6 linked regions of the Macaca fascicularis genome follow. The protein of the gene in region 4 purifies or fractionates together with the protein of the main gene of each other region. This does not show direct contact. Links are inferred from orthologs where the notes say so. Each region holds a gene or a part of one and is shown on either strand. Other genes may lie near its edges. The genes, in order: CDK9, RSL1D1, DKC1, DDX21, RRP1B and C1QBP.

Evidence for each region.
Region 1: the proteins of DDX21 (region 4) and CDK9 purify together in Homo sapiens (affinity purification with mass spectrometry; 3 studies listed by BioGRID and IntAct, with this or other methods). This does not show direct contact. The link is inferred for Macaca fascicularis from reciprocal best matches to the Homo sapiens genes DDX21 and CDK9.
Region 2: the proteins of DDX21 (region 4) and RSL1D1 purify together in Homo sapiens (affinity purification with mass spectrometry; 3 studies listed by BioGRID and IntAct, with this or other methods). This does not show direct contact. The link is inferred for Macaca fascicularis from reciprocal best matches to the Homo sapiens genes DDX21 and RSL1D1.
Region 3: the proteins of DDX21 (region 4) and DKC1 purify together in Homo sapiens (co-immunoprecipitation; 3 studies listed by BioGRID and IntAct, with this or other methods). This does not show direct contact. The link is inferred for Macaca fascicularis from reciprocal best matches to the Homo sapiens genes DDX21 and DKC1.
Region 5: the proteins of DDX21 (region 4) and RRP1B purify together in Homo sapiens (affinity purification with mass spectrometry; 3 studies listed by BioGRID and IntAct, with this or other methods). This does not show direct contact. The link is inferred for Macaca fascicularis from reciprocal best matches to the Homo sapiens genes DDX21 and RRP1B.
Region 6: the proteins of DDX21 (region 4) and C1QBP purify together in Homo sapiens (co-immunoprecipitation; 3 studies listed by BioGRID and IntAct, with this or other methods). This does not show direct contact. The link is inferred for Macaca fascicularis from reciprocal best matches to the Homo sapiens genes DDX21 and C1QBP.

What each region holds. Positions count from the first base shown.
Region 1 is NC_088389.1:16,211,052-16,215,366, forward strand, and holds the start of CDK9 (cyclin-dependent kinase 9), read right to left. Parts: upstream 2,828-4,315; 5' UTR 2,713-2,827; coding exon 2,621-2,712; intron 2,160-2,620; coding exon 2,078-2,159; intron 1,341-2,077; coding exon 1,250-1,340; intron 912-1,249; coding exon 745-911; intron 645-744; coding exon 473-644; intron 315-472; coding exon 166-314; intron 1-165. UniProt on the Homo sapiens protein: Protein kinase involved in the regulation of transcription.
Region 2 is NC_088394.1:12,521,594-12,524,292, reverse strand, and holds the end of RSL1D1 (ribosomal L1 domain-containing protein 1), read left to right. Parts: intron 1-1,421; coding exon 1,422-1,742; 3' UTR 1,743-2,192; downstream 2,193-2,699. UniProt on the Homo sapiens protein: Regulates cellular senescence through inhibition of PTEN translation. Acts as a pro-apoptotic regulator in response to DNA damage.
Region 3 is NC_088395.1:160,877,250-160,880,875, reverse strand, and holds part of DKC1 (H/ACA ribonucleoprotein complex subunit DKC1), read right to left. Parts: intron 3,584-3,626; coding exon 3,492-3,583; intron 3,281-3,491; coding exon 3,096-3,280; intron 2,482-3,095; coding exon 2,417-2,481; intron 2,222-2,416; coding exon 2,095-2,221; intron 1,303-2,094; coding exon 1,172-1,302; intron 1,077-1,171; exon of another isoform or gene 945-1,076; intron 763-944; coding exon 619-762; intron 1-618.
Region 4 is NC_088383.1:77,478,908-77,483,277, forward strand, and holds the start of DDX21 (nucleolar RNA helicase 2), read right to left. Parts: upstream 2,874-4,370; 5' UTR 2,801-2,873; coding exon 2,714-2,800; intron 1-2,713.
Region 5 is NC_088377.1:3,386,272-3,389,897, forward strand, and holds part of RRP1B (ribosomal RNA processing protein 1 homolog B), read right to left. Parts: coding exon 3,621-3,626; intron 1,992-3,620; coding exon 1,798-1,991; 3' UTR 1-1,797. UniProt on the Homo sapiens protein: Positively regulates DNA damage-induced apoptosis by acting as a transcriptional coactivator of proapoptotic target genes of the transcriptional activator E2F1.
Region 6 is NC_088390.1:5,502,371-5,506,595, reverse strand, and holds the start of C1QBP (complement component 1 Q subcomponent-binding protein, mitochondrial), read left to right. Parts: upstream 1-1,315; 5' UTR 1,316-1,410; coding exon 1,411-1,642; intron 1,643-2,225; coding exon 2,226-2,376; intron 2,377-4,225.

The sequences.
Region 1 (4,315 bases), on a different chromosome or scaffold from region 4:
GTTGTTCTGCCCAAGGCCACAGAATGGCTGATGGAACCAAGACTGGCGCATAGCCTGTGTGGCTCTCAAGGGCAGGCCCTGTCACCAAACCAGCCTCCCTTCCAGAGAGGAGCGCTCCCTCCATTCCACTCCCCACTCCTCTGCCGGGGGACCGGGACCCCGTACCTCAGGGGTGATGGAGCCGCAGAGCTGACTGATGAGGGCGAGTTGGTGCTGCTCCGTGTTGCCCTGCATGATGGGGCTGCGGGTCCACATCTCTGCCATGATGCACCCAGCACCCCACAGGTCAATGGGGGGGCCGTAGTCCCGCTCCCCTGGGAAGAAGAGCGCACCAGGAGGGCCCCTTGAGCCCGGAGGCCTCCTGAGACTCAATGCCCCAGGGCCGGCAGCTCAAGAAGCCCTGGCAGTGGGGGGGCGGGGGCCAGGTAGATGCCTGGCCCTCACCCCCCTCGGCCCGCTCGGGAGTCCTCACCGAGCAACAGCTCCGGGGGCCGGTACCAGAGTGTCACCACACGGTTGGTGTAGCGGTTGGGCTGGCTGTTCTTAGCCAGGCTGAAGGCCCGGGCCAGCCCAAAGTCTGCCAGCTTCAGGACCCCGTCACGAGTGATAAGCACGTTAGCAGCCTTCATGTCCCTATGCAGGATCTGCAAGAAGGGCAAGAGTGGCTCCTTCAGTGATATCCACCCGGGAGTGGGAGCCAAGGCCAGCCCAAGCCTGGGTCCTCCTCCCAGCTCTCGCCCCCACCTTGTTCCTGTGGATATAGTAGAGGCCGTTAAGGAGCATCTGCATCACCCTCTTGATCTCAGACAGCGTGAACTTGACCAAAACATTGCTCAACAGCCCAGCAAGGTCATGCTCGCAGAAGTCGAACACCAGGTATATACTGCCCTTGCAGCGGTTATAGGGTGAAGCTGAGGCAGGAATACAAGGAAGAAAAAGTCAAGAAAGCCACACCCAACACACTTTCCCACAACCAGTTTCTTTCTTCCTGCTCCAACCCATGGGCACCCAAGCCCTCCAGAGCATCTGTCTGTTCCTTCCTTCACTGGTCAAATATTTTCTGAGTGCCTCTTCTGGGCCAGGGCAGACCCCGAGGAAGCACCAGCTACGATGAAAGAGGACCAGAGAAAGCAGTCACCATGGGTCCATCTGAGTTAAGAGGAGGCAGTTTAGGTGGGTCTAGTTCCAACTTTACGAACAAAACCTTAGGCTACAAGTGTCATCTCCTCATAAGATCCAAACAACTTACCTTTGGTTCGACAAATCTCAATCAAGTTGACCACATTCTCATGTTTTAGAAGTTGAAGGATCTTGATCTCCCGCAAGGCGGTAATGGGGAACTGGGTGGGAGAGAGGGGAAAGTGGTCAAGAGTGAGCGCAGTACAGAGCCCAGCCCTGGGGTCTATATTGAGAGGCAAGTTGGGAGACAGAGCAAGATCATGGGCTCTGAAACCAGCTGTCTCAGAAGCTCTGCCTGTAAAATGGATATAGTAGGAGCATGCACACTTCAAGGAGATAATTTGAGACAACAAACTGAAACAGCAATACTTTGCTATTAGCCACTAAATGCTCGGCGGTTTCAGCCTTCAAACTTCAGCTCTATGGCTGTTTCGTTGGCAACAAACATGACGATTCAAAAATGTCCTCGCTAAAGCACATCAGGAAAAGGAAGGTTTATGGGACGTTGTACTTGAGCTAAGATGGGGTGGAGGGACCGCTCCTTTTAAACACATTAAATAACTGAGTATTAGTCACTTTTCAAAAATTTGCATGCATATGTATCTTTCTTTAACATTAAGCAAAATTTAACACTAAAAAAAGGTGTTTAAAGGCTTCCTAACTTCGTGAACTAAAGTGCACACGATGCATGCATCAACTCCCCCTCCCGGTCTCACCCATAACTGCCTAAGAATGAAGCATTTAGTTTTAGGGTGGAGGCCAAATTCCCTGGAAATTTCTGAACTACTACGAAAAAAATTAAATCTCAACCTGAGACTCCTAGAAGCAGCAGGGTGGAAAACCGACCCGGGGTCCTGGGCAGTTAGACGGCTGGCCCGCACGCCCGATCCGTACTCACCCCCTCCTTCTCGTTTTCCATCAGCACCTTCTTCAGAGCCACCTTCTGGCCGGTCTTGCGGTGCCTGGCCTTAAACACCTCCCTGCAGGCGGAAAGGGAGACCCGAGAGCTCATCAGGCGATTTCCGCAGGGCCCGCCCCTCCCCCACTACCGGAGGAGGGGCAGCAGCAAAAAGATTCCCGGGCGGGGCTGGGGTAAGTACCCAGGGCACGCGGCTACCCCGCCACCCGGCACCCTGTCTCGTTCGGAGCTTCTGCTTCCTTCTCTCAGTCCCTTCTCCTCACTTGGGCGTCTCTTGGAGAGATCCCGTTCCCCTCACGGGCGCCTCTCTGCAGCCCCTCCCCGCCCCCACCACCGGCCTCAGGCTCCTCCCCACCAGCCGGCTCCTTCAGGCCGGGGCGGGGTGCGGCGCGGCCTAAAGACCAGTGGGCAAGCCCGGGGACAGACGGTTTCTCTACCAACTCGGGCGGGGCCCGGGGCATCCCGACGTCCGCCCTAGGGGTGCAGGCCCACGGCTCCCGGCCCCGAGGGGCCCAGCCTTACCCGAAGGTGCCTTGGCCGATCTTGGCGAGCTTCTCGTATTTGGAAACTTCATCACAAAAGGGGCACTCCACCGAGTCGTACTGCTTTGCCATGGCCGCCTCCAACGCGCCGCCGCCGCCCCCAGCCGCTGCTGCTGCCGCTCCCGCTCCGGGTCCCGCCGCCGCCGCGCTCCAGGCCCCTCCGCGGCCGCGCCACTTCCGCCTCCACGGCCACTTCCGGCCTCGCGGCGCCGACCCCGCCTCTTCCGCCCGCCGCCCGCCGCCAGGCCCCCTGGGACTTGTAGTTCCCGAGAGGCCAGGGGGAGCCGGAGCTGCAGAGGCGCCTCCGCCGCCGCCGCTGCCCCCGCCTCCGCCGCCGCCACTACTGGCGGCGGCCCCGATCGGGGGCGCGGGGAGCCGGGGCGCCGGAGCTGGGGCTCGGGGTGGCGCGTCCCGCTGCATGGGCCCGGGCCGCCGCTGCTGCCGAAGCTGCTGCCGCTCTGGCGCCCGATCCGGGGCCAGCCGCAGTGCCCTGCTCCTCCTCCTCCGACGGCGCCGCCTCCGCCGGGCTGCGCGGGGCGGCGGGCGGGGGGGCAGCCCCCGAGCCGCGGCCTGGGGGCTCCCTGGCCGGGCCCGGGCCCGGGGCGGCCGGGCGAGGGGGCGAGACGGGAAGAGCCGACTAGGAGACGGCCCGAGAGCCCGGGAGGGGGCGCGTTATAAAGGGGGAGGTGCCCGGCCTCGCCTTCCCCTCCTCCTCCGCCCGCCCCCGCCCTCCTCCCTCCCACCCTCCGCGGCCGCACCTGCCGCCGCCGCCACCGCCCGCCCGCCCGCCCGCTCGCTGTCCGCCGGCCGCCCTCGGCGCGTCACCGCCCGCGGCCCCTCCTCCGCCTTCGGAGGTGGGGCCCCGCGCTCGGCACCTGGCTGCGGGCGCCCAGCCGCGTGCCTCAGTTTACCCCCACATGCCGGCTGCCGCGGAGAGCCCCTTCCTCCCCGGCTCGGAGTGCCCCCCCAAGAGGCGAAGGCGGGAGGCGCGGAGGGAGCGTCCTCCGGCCCTGGGAGGAGAAAACGGCCCCCGCCTCCGCCTCCCCCGGTCCCCGCCACCCTCCGTTGACATGGCAACCGACGGCCGCCAGGGGGCGCGGCGGCACTGGAGGCGACGAGCAAGCAACGCCCGGGCCTTCTATCGCTGGAGCCTGGCTCTCCAGGAGGCAGGGATGGGACCCGCAGGACTCGCGCCTTCGCCGAGTCGCGCCAGAGCTGATCAGGCCCCGGGTCAATAATCGCAAAAAACAGCTACCATTTTCTCAGCACTCTTTGTGTGCTCAGGAAGTGCTGGGCGTTCCCGCCGAATCCTGAATCAACAGCCCCATAGTCAGGATCACTAACCCATTTTGCAGAAGAGGACATTGAGGCTCAGAGGTGAGGTCATTTGCCCAAGGTCACACGGCGACAAAGCTGGGTGTCTGACTGTGAAGGGGATTCTCTTGACTCAGGCTATCCGTGGTTGGGCCAGGAGGAGAGCACTGGGGAGGCTTGCTGTCCTTATGCAGGCGGGAGCTCACCACTCACCCCCCCATCTCCCTCCCCCATCGCGCCCATCCCTTCGCCTGCATCTTCCTGGCTCCAGCGGCCCCCAGATTCCCCCTCCAGCTCTGCCCAAGGACAGCCTCCGGCAAAGCCGTCTTTTCTGCCTCCTTTGCCCCGCTTCAATCTGCCC
Region 2 (2,699 bases), on a different chromosome or scaffold from region 4:
TTTTTGAGATGAAATCTTGTTATATTGCCCAGACTGGTCTTACACTTCTAGGGTCAAAACAGTCATCCCACCCCGGCCTGCCAAAGTGCTGAGATGACAAGTGTGAGTCACCACACCTAGCCCCAACCAGTTGGCTTTTTTTTTTTTTTTTTTTTTTTGCTTTGGTTTTTTTTGAGGATGGAGCCTCAATCTGTCACCCAGGCTGGAGTGCAGTGGTGTGATCTCAGCTCACTGCAACCTCTGCCTCCCTGGTTCAAGCAATTCTCCTTCCTCAGCCTGCCAAGTAGCTGGGATTATAGGCGTATACCACCACACCCAGCTAATTTTTGTGTTTTTAGTAGAGACGGGGTTTTGCACGTTGACTAGGCTTGTCTCGAACTCCTGGCCTCATGTGATCCGCCCGCCTCAGCCTCCCAGAGTGCTGGGATTACAGGCATGAACCACCGCACCCAGCCACCAGTTGGCTTTTACACAGAGAATTTGGGAACCCCTGCCCTACACCATGTGCCAGGGATGTGCAGCTACAGTTGGAGGACTCAGGATTTGCTCCCATGTGTGTCTGCTGTGCTCCTCATGGTGCTTCCAGGAGTCTCTCCCCTCAGTCGTAGGGAAAGGTGGTTTTCCTCTGACTGGACCAGGAAGACCTCTGGGTCTTCACAATTCTTTTTTTTTTTTTTTTTTTTTGAGACAAGGTCTCACTTTGTTGCCCAGGCTGGAGTGCAGTGGCATGATCTCGGCTCACAGCAGCCTCCACCTTTCAGGCCCAAGCAATTCTCATGCCTCAGCCTCTTGAGTAGCTGGGATTACAGATAAGTGCCACCATGCCCGGCTACTTTTTGTATTTTTAGTAGAGACGGGGTTTCACCATGTTGACCAGCCTGCTCTTGAACTCTTGGCCTGAAGTGATCCACCTGCCTCAGCCTCCCATAGTGCTGCGATTACAGACATGAGCCACTGCACCTATCCCTCATTCTTAATAGTGAAATACAGCTTATCTCTGTCATCATACTGAGGTGTACCTTTTGGGGGTTAACTAATAAAAACAGTACCTTGGCCATGTGCTGAAAAAGAGTAACTTGGCCGGGCACAGTGGCTCACGCCTGTAATATAGCACTTTAGGAGGCCAAGGCAAGTGGATCACCTTAGGTCAGGCGTTCGAGACCAACCTGGCCAACATAGTGAAACCCTGTTTCTACTAAAAATAAAAAAAATGAGCAGGGCGTGGTGGCACGTGCCTATAATCCCAGCTACTCGGGAGGTGGAGGTTGCAGTGAGCTGAGATGGTGCCATTGCACTCTAGCATGGGCAGCAAGAGCGAAACTCCGTCTCAAAAATAATAAAAATAAAAACAGTAACTCCTGGAGTTAGAGTGTCAGGTGTTGTGGCTTTTTCTGTATTAAACTTTCTTTTTTTTTTCCTAGATTCAAAAACATGCCACAGGAAAGAAGTCTCCAACAAAGAGTCCTAATCCCAGTACACCTCGTGGGAAGAAAAGAAAGGCCTTGCCAGCATCTGAGACCCCAAAAGCTGCAGAGACCCCAGGGAAAGGCCCAGGGAAGAAGCAAAAGATCAAAGAAGAGGCAGTGAAGGAAAAAAATCCTTCACTGGGGAAAAAAGATGTGAGACAGACTCCAAAAAAGCCAGGGGCCAGGTTCTTCACCACTCTTAGTAAATCTGTGAGAAAAGCTTCCCACACCCCCAAAAAATGGCCCAAAAAACCCAAAGTACCCCAGTCGGCCTAAAGTCAGTGATTCAGCCGGAAGGAAACTTCAGTGCTGCCTCCAGAGCTTCTTAGAAATACTCAGCTCTTGACCCTCTTTATAAGTAACCTTCTGCAAACGTCAGGCCTGGACTTCGATTTTTTAAAACCTCCATAAGTAGTCCAGGCACGGTGCCTCATGCCTGTAATCCTAGCACTTCAGGAGGTCGAGGCGGGTGGATCATAAGGTCAAGAGATTGAGACCATCCTGGCCAACATGGTGAAACTCCATCTCTACTAAAAATACAAAAATTAATTTGGCATGGTGGCGAGCGCCTGTAACCCCAGCTACTAGGGAGGCTGAGGCAGGAGAATTGCCTGATCCTGGGAGGCAGAGGTTGCAGTGAGCCGAGATTGAGCCACTGCACTCCAGCCTGATGACAGAACGAGACTCCATCTCAAAAATAAATAAAAATAATAAAACCTCCATAAATAATTTTGACACATGTTCCTGGGTATAATAATATATTTTTAAATTGTCCTTCTGTGTATTTGCTAATACAATAGAGGAAAAATAGAGTGCTTCTCTGTGGTGGTTCAGCACTTTGGGAAGCCAAGGTGGGAGGATTGCTTGAGCCCAGGAGTTTAGGACTATCCTGGGCAACTTGGTGAAACCCCATCTCTACAAAAGAAAAAAAAATAGTGTGGCATGGTGGTGTGCACCTGTGCTCTCAGGCTGAGGTGGAAGGATCAAGTGAGCACAAGAGGTCGAGGCTACAGTGAGCCACCATCACCCCACTGTGCTCCAGCCTGGGTGACTGTGAGATTCCGTCTCAGAAAAAAGTATAACGTTGCTTTGCTTCTGAGTAGACACACTGTTGGCTTTCCAAATCACGTGGGTCTGACTGGAGGTCTGGGATGTCACCCATCACATACATTTGTGGTCATCCCCAAAGTGGCCCAGTGAGGGCCTCACTGTATGAGAATACAGCTACAGAAT
Region 3 (3,626 bases), on a different chromosome or scaffold from region 4:
TGTGACTGAGTTTTTTCAACTATTATGGTGCCATCTTTCAGTATTTATTACAGCGTATACACATACAAAATATGCAAACATCTGTACAAGATTTGAATATAAATAATTACCAACTACAAACATTTTAAATATCCAGAAATTTTTATCCCTCAAGTTAGAGAAAAGAGAGTATGCTTTAATTTATAAAAGGCCAACTCTCTGATCATCATAAAAACACAGCTCACAGCCTTGATCTCCTGGGCTCAAGCGATTCTCCCACTTCAGCCTCCCAAGTAGATGGGAATATAGACATGTGCCACTACACCTGGCTATTTTTTATTTTTGTGACGACAGGGTCTTACTATGTTGCTCAGGCTGGTCTCAAACTCCTTCCTGGGCTCAAGTGATCCTCTTGTCTTAGCCTGCCAAAGTGCTGGGATTACAGGCATCAGCCACTGTGCCCAGCCTAATGTGCCTTATTTTTAAGTATTCCTACCATTAAACTTTTACTTTAAATTAGTATACTTGGTTTGGACTTGAAAAAATAAATAAATAAAACCCAAGGAAAACAATAAAAAGAGCAAGCCTCATCTTTGGAGTATGTTCTGTCCAAATATAAACTCCTAACCCGGAACTTACTGCACTGTCTTTCATAACCAGCCGTTTATGAGATGTCAACAACTTTTCCAAAGGGTAAACAACTCGCCGCAGGTAACTCTCATCCTTGTGGTTATCATATAGCCACTGAGCATCAAGCACATCGTGCATTGTCACCATGTGGTCCTGAAAAGCAGCCATGTATGAAAATAATTCAGTTTTTTTGCATCTCGGCCCATCAGATCCCAAACTTCCTAAAACTGAATGTAACTTGTCTACTAGTCCAAGCTCATTATGTCTTCAGCCTCTTCAGTCCTGGCTCTTCCAGGCATCTTTAACCACTGAAGTATTAGATCCCAAGCAGGCATTTTTGTAGGCTGGGAGGCAAATGAATAGAATAATACTTCCTACCCAATCATCTCCCTTAGTCCATTTTAATGTCCCAAAGTTTAATTAACAGAACAGGGAAGCTGCCCTGGACTGAACTCAACACTTTGGAAAGCGCCTTTCCCACAACATGAAGCAAGTGGAGTGCCACCAAAGGCTGGCAGATGTTAAGAACAAGCTCTAAAACTTCTAGCCCCGTAACACATACCTTTTCACTCATGACTCCAGAACGAACCCTCCGAAGCTCCTGCATCTGACCACCAACTCCCAATAACAAACCAAGGTGCACACATAATGTCCGAATGTAGGTGCCGGCCTCACAACTCACCCAAAAGATTCCTAAGATATACACACAAAAGAAAAGCAGCACCTACTATAAATACATCACTGGTTGAGAAATGGTTAACCTTCATCTGAGCCATCAAGACTAGAGGTGACAGACAGAGGGCATGACTGACACAATATGCCAAGGGCAACCACTTCTTAAAATATAAGCATTTGTTGTATTTAAAGATCTGTAATTCTGATATTAACAGAATTTTTAACACTTAGTTGCAGGTATATTCAGCATGGTATGTTTCATGGATGGGCGGAAAATAGGCATTGTCTTAAATTTACTTCTGACAACTTAATCTGAGCAGCCCTGCTAAGTATTGCTATGTTTAAAAGAAAAGTACAATCCAACTGTTTATTGTTGCTTTTTGCCATTTGGTAGCATTTTACACGTAGGCTTCAATCTGGAGAATACTCTGGATTCAACAGAAAAACCTTTTAAATGATGTTTTGTACAACAGAAACTTCTAAGCAGTCAAAATTGCAACAAGTAAAAAACACATGCAAAACATACTTTGCTGAAAACACCTTTGAACAAAGCACCGAACTACACAAATGCAGAATGAAAATATTTCAATTCCAGCAGAAGCAGTCATCATAAAAAGTACAAAAGCCATCTCACTTTACTAGGCACTGTTCACTTTTTAACAAAAGATAATAAAAACTATTGCCCACAGACAATATCCCAGCTGTAGCGCAGGTTTCAGAAAGTCTTCAACTTCAAGGGCATCTACTTTTAACAAGAGAACAGAATCCTGAAGAATGTGTTCATACCCACTCACAGACCTAATGACCCACCTAATCTTCTTTCAGGATCGTATTCAATCATTTTGCTCTCGTAGATGGTCCTCACTCGGAGCTGCCTCTTTACTGCAGCAATAAGTGGGGGTCGCTGGAATAGGGCACCTGTCAGAGTTTCTAGGGCCTAAGAACAAACACAAAGCAAAACAAACACCCTCATCAGAATGTAAATGTGCAGTCACTGGTCCAGGCTGGCTGTGGCAGCTGACTGAAAAGGGCACAAAAGGAGTCAGCCAGGACAGCTAACCCATCTCCAGATGTTTAGGGGCTCAGAGATCCAAATCAACAAAGGGTGTCCTCCCTACAATTGCAGACTTACCCTAGAAAGCTGGGTCCCCCCTTCAATAGCATTGTGCAGCCGGACAATCCCCACATACTCTTTGCCTGAAAAATGACAAGAGTAGTCAGGTTTGGCCACTGAGTTTTCTGTTTTTCATATTTCTTATATGCTCAGTCACTCCCATTTTGCACAACAGGAAAAGCAGGCAGCTTGACCTTGTGTTTCTATAAAATCTGCATGAAGACAGATTTCATGGTGATGATGTAGGAAAGAATGAAGATACTCTCTCACTGGGAATTCAATGTACTAACAGGGACAGTTGGGAGTACCAGTGTAGAACCTGCCTGGAAAAAGCCTTGCAAGATAAGCAGGCTTTTCTCAGATAAAAATGAAGGAAGGATACTTTAGGCAGAAGCAGTGGCACAGAGTGAGAAGCCTAGAGTGACAAGCTGAGAGCTGAACCTGGACAGAGTTCTGCCTCCAGGCTACAAATGGATCCCGTCAGCTTGATGAATACATGCTTAGTATGTGGAATTCCAAAAAGGGTGGACCACCAAGATCTGGCAGGGGACAGAAGGTACACAGAAACCGACAGTATCTCTGCTTTAGGATTTTTTTTTTCCCTAACGAAGAAATAGTTTCCAGCAGACAAAACATAGAAGGGAAATAACAGAAAGCTTTCCACTCTAGCCAGTCCTTCCCTCCCTCTCCCAAATACCTGCACTCTGTTGTGACTTCACCAAGCGAGTGGCTCGTTCTATGCACACGATTAAACAACCAGTCACCTTGGGATCCAGAGTACCACTGTGCCCTGTCTTCTCCACCCTAAGTATCCGTCGAATCCAGGCTACCACCTCATGGGAAGAAGGGTTAGAGGGCTTGTCAAGATTAATGAAACCTGTCCTAGAATGAAAAAAAAAAATTAATGTATAACCCACTCCTGTGCGCCAATGAAACAACACATCTAGAGTTAAAAGAAAAAGAATTCACTGTGGGTACAGGTTATATATTCAAGACAAAGCTATTCTGGCATGTCACTGCCTTCTTGAATAGCTAGTGTGAAAGCATTTTCAAAAGAAAGTAAGTTTGCACAGTGCCTCCTCCCAACACTTACCTGATATAGTCCCCAATCTCTCTCTTCAGAGGATTTGAACCACATGCAAGAGGTGTATAGTGTGTTGTCCTTACATTCAGCTTATCAAAATTCTACAAAGCAACGACACAACACAAAACAAAATACCATGTCGTG
Region 4 (4,370 bases):
AATCCCAGGTAAAACAACAGTGATTTTTTTGTTTTTTTAAGAGACAATTTCTATTTTTCACCCAGGTTGTGGTACAGAGGCATCATCATAGCTCACTGCAGCCTTTAACTCCAAAACAGGAATTCTGCACTTTGCCTATCTCACAAGAGCAAATTAATTTATATAAAGACAGTTTAGGGCCAGGTGCAGTGGTTCATGCCTGTAATCCCAGCACTCTGGGAGGCCAAGGCATGAGGATTGTTTGAGGCCAGCAGTTACAGGCAAGCATGGGCAATATAGCAAGACCCTTTCTCTATTGAAAAACTTTAAAAATTAGGCTGGGCATGGTGGCTCACGCCTGTAATCTCAGGACTTTGGGAGGCCAATGAGGGCGAATCACAAGGTCAGGAGAAGGAGACCACCCTGGCTTAATACAGTGAAATCTCGTCTCTATTAAAAATACAAAAAAAATTAGCCACGCATGGTCATGCACCTGTAGTCCCAGCTACTTGGGAGGCTGAGGCAGGAGAGTTGCTTGAACCCGGGAGGCAGGGGTTGCAGTGAGCTGAGATCGCGCCACTGCACTCCAGCCTGGGCGACACAGCAAGACTGTCTCAAAAAAAAAAAAAAAATTTAAATTAGCCAGACGTAGCGGCACACACCTATACTCCTAGCTACTTAGGAGGCTGAGGTGGGAGGATTGCTTGAGCCCTGGAATTCAAGGCTGCAGTTAGCTATAATCATGCCACTGCACTCTAGTTTGGGTGACAGTAAGACTGTCTCTACAAAAAATAAAAGGGCAGGACGCGGTGGCTCATGCCTATAATCCCAGCACTTTGGGAGGCCGAGGTGGGCGATCGGATCACCTGAGGTTGGGAGTTTAAGACCAGCCTGACCAATGGAGAACAAGCCTGGGCAACGAAAGCAAAACTCGATCTCAAAAAAAAATAACAAATAATAAATAAAATAAAAGAGACACTTTATGAAACAAAAAGTTATAAAAACTCAGTCTATCACCCTTGTGTAAAAAAGATGTACTTAATTTAAAATAAAATAAATAAGTTACAAGAATATGGAAGGAGTGACACCTCAGAACCAAGTAAGACAGATGACTGTGGCTCCTATTTGAACTTTCTGACCCCCTACAACTTTTCATACTATTGAAAGCAATTAGACACATGTTGTAGCCTCCTTAGAAACCTATTCTGGCAGAGCCCCAGAACAATCTTGGAAATACATATTACACTGAATTCTGCCTCCTGGAAACGTCAGGCCTGGTCTCTGTTCTCAAATCATAGATTAAAAATAATCTCCTTGCCAACAAAAAACAAGCTAGTCTCCTTCCAAAATTTTATTCGTTTTCATCCCTTGGTTCCACCAAATAAGACCAAGTTTCCCATCCTGGTGGTCTCTTTTGGAATATAACAGAGTTTGGTCATGTATCTCTGGATTTGAGCATGCCAAATTGAAAGCAACTGACTGATGCGATGTAAACCAGGACCACTACTTCTTGCACCTGAGTACAAATCTGCCGCGGCTTCCTACGATTCTAAAATATTGCTATTGTAAGAGCTCCATATCAAAAGGCAGGGAAACAAACAAGTAAAGTTCATTCTAAGTAGTGTACAACCTAAGTCCAAGAACAATCTTTCTTCCCACTGACTTATCTCAGAACAGAGACTCAGTCACAAGTTAAATCACTAGGAAGCAACAGCAAAGCAAGGGACGGCTGTCAAGGTTAAGACTACTGCACACTGCTGGCCTATATAAAAAAACATGGTGTACACTCAGCACCGCAACACATGCCTTTACATTTCCATGGGAAATCTAGTCAATATAATACTAAGAAGAACTGAGTTACGTCATCTTCTCAGGGCGGCTTACCGGAAAACAAACTGTACTTCCCTTACTAGAGTTTAAAAAGTCACTAAAGACGCCGCCCACGTGCGCAGATGAGGTTAAGATATCTCCAGTCTACTCTAAAGCTCCAGTCCCCACTTTTTTTTTTTGAGACGGAGTTTCGCTGTTGCCCAGGTTGACTTGCAGTGGCGCGATCTCGGCTCACCACAACCTCCGCTTCCCGGGTTCACGCAATTCTCCGGCCTCAGCCTCCCGCGTAGCTGGGACTACTGGCGTGAGCCACCATGCCCGGCTAATTTTTGTATTTTTAGTCGAGACGGGGTTTCACTATGTTGGCCAGCCTGGTCTCGAACTCCTGACCTCATGATCCGCCCGCCTCGGCCTCCCAAAGTGTTGGAATTACAGGCATGAGCCACCGCATCCTGCCTCCAGTCCCCACTTTGACTTGACTTGTAATTCCCTTCGCGCACGCTCAAGCCGGGAGTTATGTCTCAGCCAGCAACGTGGAGCCTGACTGAATGTCCAACTCTGCGCACTGTGTGAGGCGCGCCCAGTCGCCGGGGACCACGTGGGACACCCGGCCTTCTCCCGAGCTCCAATAGGGCCTCTCTACCAGAGTTCCTGGAACAATGTGGATGCCTCTAATCTCAGAGGAAGAGGTCAGCGCGCGGCGGCCCCGGCTTGGTCGGGCAGACGCATCCACTGCCTGGGAGCGCACCACTCCTGGACGACCGCCCGTCAAGACCCACGCCGGGTCTCTGGACGCGCTGTTACCCGCCGCGCGCTCTCACGATCCCAGCCCGGGCACCTCTCCCGCACCCCGGGGTTCCGCTCCACTCAGCGTCCCTCCTGGCCCCAGGTCCCTCCGTTTCACCTTCTCGGTTTGTTTTCGCAGTGTCTCCCCTTTTTTCATTGCGGTGTCTGATTCCAAACCAGCGTCACTACGGAGTTTTCCCGGCATCTTCAGCGCAGGCTGCCCAGGTCAACCAGTCTTCTCAACCGCGTGGAGAGGAAGAGGTAGTTCCCCCGCCTCTGTCCACCCGGCTCTCGTCACTTCCCGTAGCAAGGCACTTCCGGGGAAAGCAGGAAGCACAGGAAAGACTGCTCTCCGCGAGGTAAATTCAAAGCAACGGCCTGTGACTGTGGCTAAATTTAGTGCATTGACTGACCACTGGCGGCCTTTGGTCTAGAAGGCACCTATGGAACGGTAAAACCGCAAGGAATTACAAAGGTTAGCTTTGTATTCTCCAACACTGGCCAGATTTCCCCTAGCCCCAGCCTGAAAAATGAAGGCTTCTAGTTGCTTTTGAGTGGAGCATCTTCAGTGCTTTATGTTATATTGTTCGAGTTTGCACGTGCAGACTCGCGGATGTGTATTCTTTTTTTTTTTTTTTTTTTTTTTTTTGAGACGGAGTCTCGCTCTGTCGCCCAGGCTGGAGTGCAGTGGCGCGATCTCGGCTCACTGCAAGCTCCGCCTCCCGGGTTCACGCCATTCTCCTGCCTCAGCCTCCCGAGTAGCTGGGACTACAGGCGCCCACAATCGCGCCCGGCTAATTGTTTTTGTATTTTTAGTAGAGACGGGGTTTCACCGTGGTCTCGATCTCCTGACCTTGTGATCCGCCCGCCTCGGCCTCCCAAAGTGCTGGGATTACAGGCGTGAGCCACCGCGCCCGGCGCAGATGTGTATTCTTAATCATCTCTTGGAAACGTCTACTCTGAAAGTGTCGGCCAGACTCAGGAGCCTGAAGGAAAAAAAAATTCAGTCGGTTCTAGTCGGTCATTCATGCGTGCACTCAAACATTTTATGAGCGTTCACTGTGTCAGGTAGGACAAACAGGGCTAGGATTCACTAGCAGACACAAAAGCCTTATCCTCAAGAAGCTTTATAGACTAGCGGGAGAGAGAGAAGTCTTGTGGTTTGAGACAAGAGTATCCTTCTCTGTCACCCAGGCTAGAGAGTGCCATGGCGCGACCTGGGCTCACTGCAACCTCTGCCTCCCAGGCGCAAGCGAATCTCCTGCCTCAGCCTCCAAAGAAGCCAGGACTTCAAGACCAGCCTGGGCGACATAGCAAAACCCCTATGTCTTTATATATACATATATAAATATATAATATTATATATATAATATATATATGAAAAAATAAATTTCAAAAATGGGTTAGAATCATAGAATACCTGACATTGACAATCAGCCTTTTTTTTTTTTTGAGACGGAGTCTAGCTCTGTTGCTCAAGCCGGAGTGAAGTGGTGCGATCTCAGCTCATTGCAACCTCCACGATTCTCATCCTTCAGCCTCCCTAGTAGCTGGGATTACAGGCCTTCGCCACCACACCCAGCTAATTTTTCTATTTTTAGTAGAGATGGGGTTTCACCATCTTTGCCAGGCTGGTCTCGAACTCCTGACTTCAGGTGATCCACCCGCCCGCCTCAGCCTTCCAAAGTGCTGGAATTATAGGCATGAGCCACAGCGCCCAGTCTTTATTTCATTTTTTTGAGACAGGTTCTCCTTCTATTGCCCAGGCTTGAGTG
Region 5 (3,626 bases), on a different chromosome or scaffold from region 4:
AAAGTTAAAAATATGTGCTCACCTTAATTGTTTCACTGTGTCAGTTTTGGTTCTGAATGTGACGTGAGGATCCTATCCAATGCAGCTATTAAACCATGCAGCCACCACAGGTATGTCGTACGTAAGACCTCATTACAGTGACGATTTAACAGCACAAGTTAATTTTTTCATGGCTCATCATGACAAAACGATTACAGAGTAGGCGAAGAACAGAGTGAGTGCTTTCTTCTCACCAGGGCCTTCATCAGTGAGTCAACTGCTCTTGACGCCAGCAAGTCAGTCTGATGTTCCCAGGTGAAACCCGCCCTTGGCTCCGTGAGCGAATGAGACCGAGGTAAACCCAATGCAGCTCTGCAACCCCAGGGACTGAAGCCACGTTGTCCAAAGCCATAGCTGGGACCTTGGAGAACCTGGGGCCCTCTGCTGGGAGGCAGCAGTGAAGGGGACTGGCCGGCTTTTGGTGAAAAACCAGGACTCCTGTATGGGGCGCATAACGGGAGGCAGGCGGCTTTCACCTCCAGGCCTGAGCAGAGCGCGGCTGGCTGGGAGAGCAGCATGCCAGCCCAAACCGTGCGCCCGTGCCCTCTTGCTGCGCAGGCGGGAGCTGCGGGAGCTGCGGGAGCTGCGGGAGCATGGAGAAGGCGCGCAGCCTTGGCGGCTCTCCTCCGCAGCCGCTCACTCTGAATCTGCAGCTTCTCCAGCTCTCAGGCCCAGGTCAGACGCTTTCTCAAACAGATCGAGCAATCGCTGCTCAAAAGAAGGCCTCATTTCTGTTTCCCCAACGAAAGCCTGAGTGCCTTCCGCCCGTGTTTGTCACGAATTTACAGGAGAATTGTCTAAACTCTTAAGCGCTCGCTTCCGCGTTTGAGAGGAAAGGTCGCGGAGCGGGAGCGCAGGCTCCAGATACGCACGGCAGCCTCCAGGGAAGATGGGGAGCTGCCCTGGAGCCGGTCAGGCAGTGACTCGGCTGGAACGTGGACGGAGAGAGAGAGAGACGCAAGGGCTTGGAGGAATGAGTGTGCTCCACGCGAGGACCTCAGCAGAGGGCTCAGCACGGGGCGGGGTCCTGGGTAAGAGCTGGGGGCTGCGCTGGCCTCCCGAGAAGACACTTTGGGCTTGCCGTAGAGGTAGGAAAACAGGGAGGGAAACCGGGTAGCGGGGAGGAGAAGAAAAAGCCCCCCGAACACAGAGCCTCTTCTTTCCTCACCCCTACCTGTCCACACCCCCAGCTGAGCACATGTAGAAAAACTATGGTATTGCTGATTCTGTGACAAGAATCTTCCCATCGGTAACCTGCCGAACACCCACAGAACATGGCAATCAAGCCCCACATGCTTTGAAAAGAAAACAGATTGTTCAGACTAACAGAAACCAACTTAGTACAGCAAATACAGGAATGAGGACCAAATTCCGCAGAACTGGGAGCTCAACAGGAAGTGCAATTCCACCTCTCATGTACCAACAGCACTGACTGATTTAAAGTTCCGACCAACGCGCTCTCCTCAGCTTCAGGGAGGGTCTCACTTCCCACACCAACGGGAATCACTGAGGTTACCCAAAAATGTAACATCCTGGAGAGCTCGAACACAAACATGGTTTGTAGCAAAAGATTCAACCAAGACGCCCGCAGCCGCTACAGAGGGGCCAGGACGCAGCAGCCCGCGGGCACGTTCAGAACCTCGTGCACACAACTTAGGGGAACGTAGAAAACCATAAAAAAGGCCCCACATTCGGAAAGGTATAATTTATAGCGTATTCTGTACAAAAGCAGTCTTTTACAAGGGACTCTGCTGCCCCTCAGAAGAAATCCACAGCCCTGGGCCGTCTCCTCGGTGTGGCGGTCAAGGGCTTCTTGGCCACCAGGGGCGAGCTGGCCGGTGAGCTGGCGGGGGTCTTCAGCACCCCGTGGAGGGGCCTCTGCTCAGGGTCGAAGGCCACTCGGGAAGGGCCCGTGGGACTGACCAAGATACTCTTGTCTGTCTTCTTGAATTCTGTCCCAAATGAGAGCAAGGCCCCATGTTAAGCAGGTCCAACAGCTGTCCCTCCAACAGCTCGGACAGTGTCCTGCCTGGGTGCCAACCCTGCCCATTTGCTAGGACGAAGCAGGGCCATCTCAAGGCCCTGCAGACAGCAGGCCTGGGAGCCTTCTGAGGGAAGGAGGGCAGTGAGGCCATGTCCCCTGCCTCAACTCACCCTCCCAAGGCCGCCTGTACAGACCAAGCGGAGCTGCTGGTAGGGTGGCTCCTGGAAGGGTGAACATTGAGGGTGGGGGTGTTTTGGACAATGAGTGAACTAGGCATTTGAGTCTGGGACGAATCTGCTATGTGGAGGGCAGGATTCGTCCTGCTCATCCAGTTGTAAAGGCTAGGTGAGCTCCTCAGGCTCTCTGAGAGTCTCTTTTCCCTAAACATACACGCTCACACTTGTGCATGCACACGCACACACACACATACTGGCACATGTACACACACTCACACATACACACACACACAATTATTTGCAGTTCCCAACAAGAGTCAGGTCCTAAACTCGTTATAATACCTTTTTTTTTTTTTTTGCGATGATGGAGTCTCACCCAGTCTGTCACCCAGGCTGGAGTGCAGTGGCATGATCTCGGCTCACTGCAACCTCTGTCTCCTGGGTTCAAGCAATTCTCCTGCCTCAGCCTCTTGAGTAGCTGGGACTACAGGCTCTTGCCACGACGCCCAGCTAATTTTTATATTTTTAGTAGAGATGGGGTTTCACCATGTTGGCCAGGCTGGTCTGGAACTCCTGACCTCGTGATCCGCCCACCTTGGCGTCCCAAAGTGCTAGGATTACGGGCATGAGCCACTGCGCCTGGCCTATAATACTTTTTAAAACTTTGGTTTCCTTTGTAAAAGCAACTCGAATGGATGGCACCGATATGAAAAGTATCAAGATAGGGGTTACCCTTCTCCGTCCCCCAGGAAGCAAGTTGTTCCGAAGTTTCTCAGAGAGACAGCTACAGCTGATGGACCACTACAATCTCAAATGGCCTCTCTGTGGGACGGCTTTCAGTATTTAGAAAGACACTTGGGAGAACGGCTTTTTGGATCACGTCTCTCCGGGTAGCCTCTCTTAAGAGGTCCCAGGCAACTGGCTGCCCGCTCACCATTGGCACCCCACTCACAGCCCTTTGAGGACGAGGGACACACAGGTGCTTCCTTCTGACTCAGAAATGGGCAGTGAGGGGTGGGCTCGGTGGCTGATGTCTGTAATCCCAGCTCTTTAGGAGGCTGAGGCAGGCGGATCACCTGAGGTCAGGAGTTTGAGACCAGCCCGGCCGACATGGTGAAAAAAGACAAAAATTAGCTGGGCGTGATGGCATGCGCCTGTGATTCCAGCTACCTGGCAGGCTGAGGCAGGAGAATCGCTTGAACCCGGCGGGGGACGGAGGTTGCAGTGAGCCAAGATCTTGCCACTGCACTGCAGCCTGGTTGACAGAGCGGTGAGACTCTGTCTCAAAAAAAAAAAAGAAATGGGCAGTGAGGAGCTCGGACCCCACCTCTCTCCTCAGCGCCTGTGGAACCAGGCTGCGAGCCTCGCCAGGAGCCGCAGCTGTGCTCCAGAGAAACCTGCCGCCGGCAAAACCCACTTACCTGCAG
Region 6 (4,225 bases), on a different chromosome or scaffold from region 4:
CCAGAAAAATGATGTTCCATTAGAACTTGGATGCAGGGTCGGAGGTGCAGAGAGGGAAGGTCACAGAAATTACTCATGGATCCTGCCCTTCAGGATGTCACAGTCTGGTTGGGTTTAACCCGGTTAAAACCAGCAATGCCAGGAGGTTTCTGTTGAAGAGAATGAAGCCTAAGGGCTGGGTGCGCACAAGCATGAGTTCTAAGCCGATGGAAAAAAGGAGGTTCTAGGAAGGCCTCTTTCAGGAAAACCCTGACCTCTTCCTTTGCTCTTACAACAATCAGCACAGAAGAGTTCTGTGACCAAAGGTTTGGGTTTTTTCCCTCCACACTAAGCAGCAGACACCAGCGGGGTGTCCTCCAATTCAATCCCAACATTATCTACCTGGAGACAGTGTCAGATCCCATGAGACAGTGTCAGATCCCATAGGTTGAGGGCTCAGTCCCCAAGACCGCCCCGACCTTCAGACAGCAATGGCAAGTCTGGGCCTCTGAAACTTCCGACCAGCCCGCTTCAAGTGGGGGTTCCCACGACCCCCCTCTTTGGGTTGTATTAACTCACTGGAGCAGCTCACAGAACTCAGGGAAACACTTTTACCGGTTTCATATAAAGGATATTACCAAGGATACAGATGAGGAGATGAGCAGGGTGGGCAGTGGGGAAGAAGCTCCGATCTTCCTCGCCGTCCCTGGGCCACCACCCTCCAGGAACCTCCACGTATTCAGCTATCAGAGGCTCTGCAAACCCTGTCCTCATGGGTTTTTATGGAAGCTTCTGGACATCAGCATCCCTTCCCCCAGGGCATAGGGTGGGACCTTCTCTGGGAAGGGACTTAAGACCCATAATCAGAAATGTGGGAGATTAGAGTCCTGCATTGGGGCGGGTGAAAGGAGGGCGGGAGAAGGGGAGAGTGAGAGTCTGTTTCCTGAGGCCTAACACACCCAACATTATCACAGAACACTGTAACGAGGGCTATGGGAGTTACGACCCAGGAACTGGGGATGAAAACCAATAAATACATAATATAACACCACAGCCTCCTAGAGGAAAGTGACCGTGTAAGGGGCTGGTGAGAGCTGGGGGAAGACAAGAGTGCATTCCACACAGCCCAAAAGCCTGGCGTGCCTTGAAAACAGTAGGTGGAAGCGGCCACTAGAAAGAATTAAACAGCTTCGGACAGAGGACTCAGGCCAGCGCAGCAAGAAGGCTCCGGAAACCGGATTCGAGGCTTCCCGGGCTGCACCGGAGGCCTCCAGCAGAAGGCGCGATTCCGCCTGGGGCCTTAGGTCCTCAGTGCGCCGGCGCGGGAAGCGCTTCCGGGCAAGGGCGGGGCTTCCGGCGGCGCTTTAGGTCGCGGGGTACTTGGGCCTGGATTGTCCTTTGCATCTGCACGTGTTCGCAGTGGATTGCGCGATGCTACCTCTGCTGCGCTGCGTGCCTCGTGTGCTGGGCTCCGCCGTCCCCAGCCTCCGCGCTGCCGCGCCCGCCTCGCCTTTCCGGCAGCTCCTGCAGCCGGCGCCCCGGCTGTGCGCCCGGCCCTTCGGGCTGCTCAGCGTGCGCGCAGGTTCCGAGCGGCGGCCGGGCCTCCTGCGGCCTCGAGGACCCTGCGCCTGTGGCTGTGGCTGCGGCTTGCTGCACACTGAAGGTGAGGTTCGCGCACGCGGGCCAGGGGTGTGGTTTGCGGTTCACGGAGGGGAAAAGACCAGGAGTGGGGCCTGCAACCGACCTCCGAGGTCTGGGACATTTTTCCATTGATTGGCAACCAGCGGGTTAAACCCACGTGTGATCATATTCCCCCCACCTCCCCTATCCACCAGTTTCATTTTCTGTTGGTAGGGGGGTGAATAAAATTAAATACTAGAGGGTACCTTCATCCTTAGTCTTATTCTCTCGAAAGTGGACTTTTGGGAAAGCCCAAGGTCGTGTTTGAAAATAGCATACGATACAACTATCGTTTGGCAAGTGGAAGAGGATGATCGGAAATTCTTCTGCTTTATAGCGGAAAGTGGTAATGCGTTCATTGTTGGAAATCACTTTTCCAGCATCAGGCTCAGCTTCCCACTAATATTATGGTATTTTTACAGATAAGGAAACTGAGGCTTCTAGAGTAACTGTAATAGCAGAGAGATTAGAAATAGTCCAGGTTTCTGGCTGCGATAACCAGGGTAATAGTTTTATGTTTTAGACTAACTGGCTTTCCTTTTTATGTATATGGATTTCTTTTCTAGGAGACAAAGCTTTTGTTGATTTCCTGAAGGATGAAATTGAGGAGGAAAGAAAAATCCAGAAGCATAAAACCCTCCCTAAGATGTCTGGAGGTTGGGAGCTGGAACTGAATGGGACAGAAGCGAAATTAGTGCGGAAAGTTGCCGGGGAAAAGTAAGTACTGGTCTGGGGATCCCAGGGCACCGACTCCCTTAACCTTGCAAGACCCGTCCTGGGTCATCCCTAGAAGAGCCTTGAGTTCAGGTGTGGATAAATGGTTTTCAAGAGAGTGAAGGATTCAATTGGACAGCTTCATAAGGTCCAGGCAGTCCATTCACTGAACACAAATTTGCTGTGGGCTGGTTACTAAGGAGACAAAAATGTAGCGCAAAAAAGTACTGACAGAATCTGTTTGATCTCTGATTTACAGCGCTGATACAGTAGCACCCTGCTCTCTCTAATGTTTAGCTTGGGTGAAAATGCAAGGCATGTAACTTATATGTAACAGGATGGGGTTCCACTGTAGTAAGGGCTGCCATCAGAGGCGGGGAGTTTGTGACCTAAGTCAGGTGCCCCACCTTCTCCTAAACTGTTAGTGTTTACACTTTTCTGCATTATAGTCATCCATAATCTCATTACACAGATAGACATTTGTCATCTTCCAGATTTTTAAATTGAGGCTGGGTGCAGTGGCTCACGCCTATAATCCCAGCACTTTGGGAGGCAGAGACGGCAGATCATGAGGTCAGGAGATCGAGAACATCCTGGCTAACACTGAAACCCTGTCTCTACTAAAAATTTTAACAGGGTGTGGTGGCAAGCACCTGTAGTCCCAGCTACTCAGGAGGCTGAGGCAGGAGAATCGCTTGAACCCCCGGGTTTCAGTGAGCCGAGATGGCGCCACTGTACTCCAGCCTGAGGGACAGAGCAAGACTCCATCTCAAAAAAATAATAAATAAATAAATAAATTGAATTTTCTTTATAATTGACCTTATGATGTATATGTAATTCTTTTTTAAAATCACAGCTTTAATGTGATTTAATTTATATGGCATAAAATTTACCCATTTATTGAAGTTTATTAAATTAAGTGGTTCTTAGTCCTCACAGAATTATGCATCGGTTACCACTACCTAATTCTAGAACATTGTTGTCAATCCCCAAACAATACCTATTAGCAGTCACTCATTATTCCTCCCTCTAGCCACCCCAGGTAATCACTAAGCTACTTTATGGATTGCCTCTTTTGGACATTTCATATAAATGGAATCATACAATTTGTAGCTTCCTCCCCACCCCACGGAGTCTTGCTATTACCCAGGATGGAGTGCAGTGGCACGATCTTGGCTCACTGCAGCCTCTGCCTCCCGGATTCGGACAATTCTCCTGCTTCAGCCTCCTGAGTAGCTGAGATTACAGGCATGCGTCCAGTTAATTTTTGTATTTTTAGTAGAGATGGGGTTTCGCCATGTTGGCCAGGCTGGTCTCAAACTCCTGACATCGTGATCCGCCCTCCTCGGTCTCCCAGAGTGCTGTGATTACAGGTGTGAGCCACCCTGCCCAGCCTGTTTACATTTTTAATTGTTGGGTTGTAAGAGTTCTTTAGTTTTGACCGGGCACGGTGGCTCACACCTTTAATCCCAGCACTTTGGGAGGCCGAGGCAGGTGGATCACAAGGTCAGGAGATCAAGACCATCCTGGGTAATGCAGTGAAACCCTGTCTCTACTAAAAGTACAAAAAATTAGCCAGGTGTAGTGGCGGGCGCCTGTAGTCCCAGCTACTCAGGAGGCTGAGGCAGGAGAATGGCATGAAGCCCAGAGGCAGAGGTTGCAGTGAGCCGAGATCACGTCACTGCACTCCAGCCTGGGCGACAGAGTGAGACTCTGTCTCAAAAAAAAAAAGAATTCTTTAGTTTTTCTGGGTATAGTGATCTTACCAAATTAATGATTTGCAAGTATTGTTCCCCATCTTGTGGGTTTTCTTTTCACTTTCTTTGTAATGCCCTCTGACACAAAAGTTTCT